Xenopus tropicalis: one gene and its partner. The protein of the gene in region 1 purifies or fractionates together with the protein of each later gene. This does not show direct contact. Links are inferred from orthologs where the notes say so. Each region holds a gene or a part of one and is shown in the gene's direction. Other genes may lie near its edges. The genes, in order: casp9 and dcc.

Region 1 (3,109 bases):
CCCCCTACCATCCTCCAGCTCCCCGCTAGCATCCTCCAGCTCCCCCCTAGCATCCTCCAGCATCCTCCCCAGCATCCTCCAGCTCCCCTCAGCATCCCCCCAACATTCTCCAGCTCCCCCCATCGTCCTCCCCAGCATCCTCCAGCTCCCCCCTAGCATCCTCCAGCGTCCTCCCCAGCATCCTCCAGCTCCCCCCTAGCATCCTCCAGCTCCCCCCTAGCATCTTCCAGCTCCCCCCTAGCATCCTCCAGTGTCCTCCCCAGCATCCTCCAGCTCCCCGCTAGCATCCTCCAGCTCCCCCCTAGCATCCTCCAGCATCCTCCCCATCATCCTCCAGCTCCCCCTAACATCCTCCAGCTCCCCCCCACTCTTACTCCTGCTTCCTGCAGCTCACCCTGCTCCCCCCAGCGTCCACCTGCTTCCTGCGCCTCCCCCCTAGCATCCTCCAGCTCCCCCCTAGCATCCTCCAGTGTCCTCCCCAGCATCCTCCAGCTCCCCGCTAGCATCCTCCAGCTCCCCCCTAGCATCCTCCAGTGTCCTCCCCAGCATCCTCCAGCTCCCCGCTAGCATCCTCCAGCTCCCCTCAGCATCCCCCCCAACATTCTCCAGCTCCCCCATCGTCCTCCCCAGCATCCTCCAGCTCCCCCCTAGCATCCTCCAGCGTCCTCCCCAGCATCCTCCAGCTCCCCGCTAGCATCCTCCAGCTCCCCCCTAGCATCCTCCAGCTCCCCCCTAGCATCCTCCAGCTCCCCCCTAGCATCTTCCAGCTCCCCCCTAGCATCCTCCAGTGTCCTCCCCAGCATCCTCCAGCTCCCCCTAGCATCCTCCAGCATCCTCCCCATCATCCTCCAGCTCCCCCTAACATCCTCCAGCTCCCCCCCCACTCTTCCTCCTGCTTCCTGCAGCTCACCCTGCTCCCCCCCAGCGTCCACCTGCTTCCTGCGCCTCCCCCCTAGCATCCTCCAGCTCCCCCCTAGCATCTTCCAGCTCCTCCCTAGCATCCTCCAGTGTCCTCCCCAGCATCCTCCAGCTCCCCGCTAGCATCCTCCAGCTCCCCCCTAGCATCCTCCAGGTCCTCCCCAGCATCCTCCAGCTCCCCGCTAGCATCCTCCAGCTCCCCTCAGCATCCCCCCCAACATTCTCCAGCTCCCCCCATCGTCCTCCCCAGCATCCTCCAGCGTCCTCCCCAGCATCCTCCAGCTCCCCCCTAGCATCCTCCAGCTCCCCCCTAGCATCTTCCAGCTCCCCCCTAGCATCCTCCAGTGTCCTCCCCAGCATCCTCCAGCTCCCCGCTAGCATCCTCCAGCATCCTCCCCATCATCCTCCAGCTCCCCCTAACATCCTCCAGCTCCCCCCCCACTCTTCCTCCTGCTTCCTGCAGCTCACCCTGCTCCCCCCCAGCGTCCACCTGCTTCCTGCGCCTCCCCCCTAGCATCCTCCAGCTCCCCCCTAACATCCTCCAGCTCCCCCCCCCACTCTTCCTTCTGCTTCCTGCAGCTCACCCTGCTCCCCCCCAGCGTCCGCCTGCTTCCTGCGCCTGCTGTGTCCATCGGCTCCCTGCTGCATCCACTGTTTTATAAGGTTGCGCCCCGTGCGTTCTGACGTCACAGGTACCAGGTACGCACAGGGCAAAACCAATCGAAATCCCACTGGCCACCAAAGACAGAGCCCGTAATTCTTTAAAGGGGGCCCGAGTTTAAAAACTCTTTCACGCCCGGGCCCCCTTTAAAGCGAAGGATCGTCCAGGCCCAGGACAACTGTGCCCCCCTGATGGCGGCCCTGCCTCCTTCACTTTGACTATACAGAATTCTTGCTTTAAAATCCTTGTTTCTGTTGCTTGCAGGCCATTCATGATCATCTGGAGGAACTTGCTGCCCAAGACCACAGCCTGAGGGACTGCTGCCTGGTGGTGATCCTGTCACATGGCTGTGAGGTGAGGTTTATTGATGATGTTGCACCTTGGGCACACACAGAAGTCCTAGCATTATTGTGTCCCCGAGAAACTTTAGATAAACCTGACTGCACCACCCAGAACCTTCAGCCAATAAATCTGTGTGTTTTCACTCTAGACCCGGCACATTCAGTTTCCAGGAGGAGTTTACGGAACAGATGGGATTCGAATCCCTGTAGAGAGAATCGTGAGCTACTTTAATGGTTCTAAATGCCCCAGCCTGCGGGGAAAGCCCAAGATCTTCTTCATTCAAGCCTGCGGCGGAGGTAAATTTCTGCCATTGTCCAATCAAATTGATGATGTTTTTTTCCTGTTATCCAAACTATACGTGATATTTTCATGTTAGGGATAAAATAACGAGGGCAGGGATGGTCTAATGTCTTAATTCTTCTCTTTTCTCCTTGCAGATCAGAAAGACAAAGGCTGTTCGGTGACTACTGAGACCCCCCCACTAAGCCCCACTTCAACTTCCCTGCAGTCTGATGCCACCCCTGTTTTTTCTGGGGAAGATGATAACGACGAAGTGGATGCCGTGTCCAGTATTCCCACTCCCAGTGATATCTTGGTGTCCTATTCCACTTTCCCAGGTAAATGCTCAGTCTTTGTTAAAGGAGAACTATACCCCCAAACTGGAATATATATATCAGTAAATATTGCCCTTTTACATCCTTTCCCTTGAGCTGCCATTTAGTGATGGGCTGTGCGCTCCCTCAGAGATCAGCTGACAGGAAGTGATGCAGCTCTAACTGTAACAGGAAGTAGTGTGGGAGCAAAAGGCATAACTCTGCCCATTCATTGGCTGATGGGGCCTAGCATGTATGTGTGCCTTGGCTTGTTTGTGTGCACTGTGACTCCTATGATCCCAGGGGGCGGCCCTTAGTACTTAAAATGGCAGTTTCCTATTTAGGATTACCCAATGGCACATACTGCTAAAAAAGTATATTTTTATGAAATTGGTTTATTTGAATGAAGCAGGGTTTTACTTATAAGCTTTTTTTGCAATACATTTTTATAGAGACCTACATTGTTGGGGTATAGTTTCCCTTTAAACTTAATAAAAATAAGGGAACTGCTCTCGGCCTCCGCTTGTACTACGCCGTCTGTGTCAAATTAATGGGGGTGTGTCTAAAGCAATCAAACATGGAGTAAGGGCAGTGG
Region 2 (4,571 bases), on another chromosome or scaffold:
AGCCCTATTGGGTTTATTTAATGGTTAAATGATTCCCTTTTCTCTGTAATAATAAAACAGTACCTGTACTTGATCCCAACTAAGATATAATTACCCCTTATTGGGGGCAGAACAGCCCTATTGGGTTTATTTCATGGTTAAATGATTCCCTTTTCTCTGTAATAATAAAACAGTACCTGTACTTGATCCCAACTAAGATATAATTACCCCTTATTGGGGGCAGAACAGCCCTATTGGGTTTATTTCATGGTTAAATGATTCCCTTTCTCTCTAATAATAAAACAGTACCTGTACTTGATCCCAACTAAGATATAATTACCCCTTATTGGGGCAGAACAGCCCTATTGGGTTTATTTAATGGTTAAATGATTCCCTTTTCTCTGTAATAATAAAACAGTACCTGTACTTGATCCCAACTAAGATATAATTACCCCTTATTGGGGGCAGAACAGCCCTATTGGGTTTATTTAATGGTTAAATGATTCCCTTTTCTCTGTAATAATAAAACAGTAGTTGTACTTGATCCCAACTAAGATATAATTACCCCTTATTGGGGGCAGAACAGCCCTATTGGGTTTATTTCATGGTTAAATGATTCCCTTTTCTCTGTAATAATAAAACAGTACCTGTACTTGATCCCAACTAAGATATAATTACCCCTTATTGGGGCAGAACAGCCCTATTGGGTTTATTTAATGGTTAAATGATTCCCTTTTCTCTGTAATAATAAAACAGTACCTGTACTTGATCCCAACTAAGATATAATTACCCCTTATTGGGGGCAGAACAGCCCTATTGGGTTTATTTAATGGTTAAATGATTCCCTTTTCTCTGTAATAATAAAACAGTACCTGTACTTGATCCCAACTAAGATATAATTACCCCTTATTGGGGGCAGAACAGCCCTATTGGGTTTATTTCATGGTTAAATGATTCCCTTTTCTCTGTAATAATAAAACAGTACCTGTACTTGATCCCAACTAAGATATAATTACCCCTTATTGGGGGCAGAACAGCCTTTTTGGGTTTAATTACTGTTTAAATATTTTTTTTTAGCAGACTTAAGGTAGCAGATCCGAATTACAGAATGACCCCTTCTCCGGTCCTTCGCATTCTGGATAAGGGGTCCCATACCTGTATACTAACCAATAGTGTCAGTTTGCACTGAACTGCGTTCATCTTTGCGCGTCTGTGGGTAGTTAATGAGCCCCAGTGAGCCCCCCATGCTGCTAATGCCCCAGTCACAGAATGAAACAAAGTGTAACTCTGTGACATTTTTATGACATGAATGAATTTCTGGTTTTCCCTCCCAGCCTATTGTATCCTGTAGGAGAGAGCAGGATCAGACAGCCAGCAGAACTCTCATTCCTCCTTTCCCTCCATATAATATATATATATATAATACATATTATCTAAACTGCTCGGAACCTGTTTGGGCTGTCAGTAAAGACCCAGTAGCAGCTGCAAGACGCGCACTGATCCAGCGTTTCTCCCTGCGCTGCCGCCATTCCCAGCAGCCGCCGACAGAGGGCGCCCCCGCTCATGCTTTCATACTGGCGACTGAACAAAGAATCCGTATAGAGCCAGTGGAGCCAGTGCTGTCCCCTCCGCAATCCCCATTCCATCCCATTCCTGCGCTTCCCAGCTCCTTGTTTTCCTCTCCAGCCTCTTCACTTTCTGTGGATCAATGGGTGAACACATTTGATTCTTAGCTCACATACACTGCTGGTGGATTGCTCTAGTAACAAGTGAGCTCTTTAAAGCCCCTGTCTTTTTCTCCTCTGCCAGGGAAGGAGGAAGCATCAGTCTCTCCTGTGCTTTTCTTTTTTTTTTTTATTAATAACCCCCTTTTTTTACCAAGCTGATTTTTATTTTTATCCAGCACTGGGGACATGGGACTCCTCTACAGATTTATTTTCTGCACCTGGATCTAATTCTGGAGGATTTTATCTTTGGATGGTTTTCATTGGGACCTTCAGCCCACCCTACAAGCTTGCCCCTACTTACTTGCTATTTGGAAGGGGGTACATCAGGGCTGATGCTGAACTGGACCAGCATTAACTTTGCCTGCTGAAGCCGCCAAGGGACCAGGAATATTTAAGGCAATCAGGGTTGAGTGTGCATGAGTGTGCTTGGGAATTGGGACACAAATCGGGAGGTGTTTGCTGAAATATGGAGAATAGTCTTGGATTTTATTCACTACCAAAGCTGGTGTTTCTCCTGCATGGATTCGCTCTGCTCAGCCTAAATCTCCCGGTATCCGGTAAGTAACATCTCCGGCATTCCCTTCCATCCCCAGCCTAGGAACCAGGACCCTCAGTGTGGCTCCCGGAGGAGCGATTTCATAGAGATTCTCTGCACTTTGCTTGTTTGGAGAAGGAATAGCAGCTTTCATTTCTCCTCTTTACTTCACATCCATGCTGCAGTATTTTAAAGGGGAAAAAAACCCACACACACACATACACACACATACATATTAACAAGCAGTAGAAGGGAAAAAAAAATGCAGCAAGATCTTATAATGAATTATTAAGACCCTCGTCCCTAGAGCCGAAGTGATATTTTAAAGATAGAAGTGAATAATTTAAACATTTTTGGTTTTGTAAAACCGTTCCGCCAGCCCCAGTGATGTATATTTCACAGCTTCTCCTTATCCTGCAAGATCTGGAAGAGAATGGTGGCTTCGGGCCAAATAGGACTATTTATATACGGCGGAGCGTGGTTTATAATGGGGCACGGTGCGTTCTGGCACAACTACATAAAGTTGTGCGTGCCAATTCATGCTATTAAACTAGTGGAATGAATGGGGGCTCGCTAGTGATTTCACATGTGACAATGGGGTGTGTGTGTGTCATATAAGGGACGTCTTTATTGCCCAAACATGCTCCGCAGTGCTAATGCTTGGGACTGGAATATCAAGTCAAGTAGCAAGTCACCAAGAGCTTGGTTGCACCTAGGTGTAGTGCACGATGGTTATAGTTCTGTGATACTGAGGGTTGGGGGTTGAGGTGACAGTATATACTGCTTGTATTTGTGTATATGGCACACTGAGCTGCAAGGGTTGTGCACACATTGGGGCTGTAGGAGGCAATACAATGGATGGGTCCATTCACATGGTGCTGAAGTGGACAGCGACCGGCTCTGGTAGAATTCTACTGCTCAGCGCAGTTCATGCCAGGGTGCCGGGCAGCACACACATGTAGTTGTATTATTAAAGAAAAATAAAATGTAAAAGTTGGGGGAACCGGAAGCAACCATTGGCATCCAGGCTTGGGAAATGTGCAATGGAGCTGTAAAGGCACCGGAGCTTTTGCTTGGCCTCTTCTCATTAATCTTTACACTCCCAGCCCTCCTTCTAGTGAGCTATTTTCTTTCTTTCCAACCAGAGAGCCAGGGGGGAGGGAGAAGTGATAGTAGTGAAAGGAAGACACCAGCAGGAGGTGCCCACTAAAGGGGCCGGGGTGCAATTGCGGCTCTTTTACTCAAACTTCCTTAGCATTGGGGAGCCAATTGGCACCGCTTTGCCAATCAATTCAGCCTTTTTTGAGTTTTTCTTTGTAAATGGTTCTGTTTGTTATAGAAAATATAATATAGAAATATTATTAGAAAATATTTATTATTATTCATCATTAAAATAGTGGTTTATTCTTCACTTGATCGCCAAGACACACACTCCATTGGGGTAACATGTATGACCCAATGATATTAATGAAAATTGTTATTACTTTATGAATACGGTCTTATACCTGGGGTACAGTGGGAAACACGTCTGGGCGTGGGGGGTGGGTTGGATGAAAACATGTTTTACCCCTCCTACAGGGTACGAGAGTATTACTAACATACATCTGAATAGAGATGTAATGAAATCTCAGTGCCAACGAGACTCAATAGCCCAATTAATATAGGGGGTTTAAGTAAGGTACGCCCATTTTCTTGCTATTGTTGAAATGTAAATACTTGCTTGAGGGTGGATGATGGGAGTTGTAGGACTTGAGGTTGGAGCCTATGATTAAGTGCTGGGTAAGCATGAAACGCGTTAGGCTAATATTGAGTGGTATATGAGTTTATATATTTTGTAGTGGGGATCCCTAGTGCAAGGGGTTTCTTACTTATATACATACCCATGATGTATTATTGATATTGGCATTTGGTGCAAATAAACCCAACATTGGATACATTTGCCTGAATTATAGGGATATTGAAATCCCTCCCCATGAATGGGGTAATTCCGATATAGACCAACGTTGCACACGTGGCCCCTCGGGAAAGACAGGTTGCCTTGGTGCTTGGGTTCCCCTCAGTTCATTTGCCCCGAAATCAATACTACTGTGCTTGCTGTAGCATTTCCATGTGTTTATTATTAAAAAAAATGCAACGTGGTATGGTGAATTGATTTTATGACCACGTTAGCAGCGTTATAAGGGGCAGGTCGGCCTTGATGGAAAGGGGGGCAGCGGCCCCCAAGGCTGGTTTAATTTGAATGATTTAGCCATTAGAGAAGGCCACTGACTGGCTGTATAGGCCGACGGCCGGCTCCCCGGAGAAGCAGACCTGTCAGTCACCGTGAAGTT

Evidence for each region.
Region 2: the proteins of casp9 (region 1) and dcc purify together in Homo sapiens (co-immunoprecipitation; 3 studies listed by BioGRID and IntAct, with this or other methods). This does not show direct contact. The link is inferred for Xenopus tropicalis from reciprocal best matches to the Homo sapiens genes CASP9 and DCC.

What each region holds. Positions count from the first base shown.
Region 1 is NC_030683.2:129,462,637-129,465,745, forward strand, and holds part of casp9 (caspase-9), read left to right. Parts: intron 1-1,843; coding exon 1,844-1,933; intron 1,934-2,069; coding exon 2,070-2,217; intron 2,218-2,358; coding exon 2,359-2,538; intron 2,539-3,109. UniProt on the Homo sapiens protein: Involved in the activation cascade of caspases responsible for apoptosis execution. Binding of caspase-9 to Apaf-1 leads to activation of the protease which then cleaves and activates effector caspases caspase-3 (CASP3) or caspase-7 (CASP7).
Region 2 is NC_030677.2:204,366,118-204,370,688, reverse strand, and holds the start of dcc (netrin receptor DCC), read left to right. Parts: upstream 1-1,676; 5' UTR 1,677-2,172; coding exon 2,173-2,263; intron 2,264-4,571. UniProt on the Homo sapiens protein: Receptor for netrin required for axon guidance. Mediates axon attraction of neuronal growth cones in the developing nervous system upon ligand binding. Its association with UNC5 proteins may trigger signaling for axon repulsion.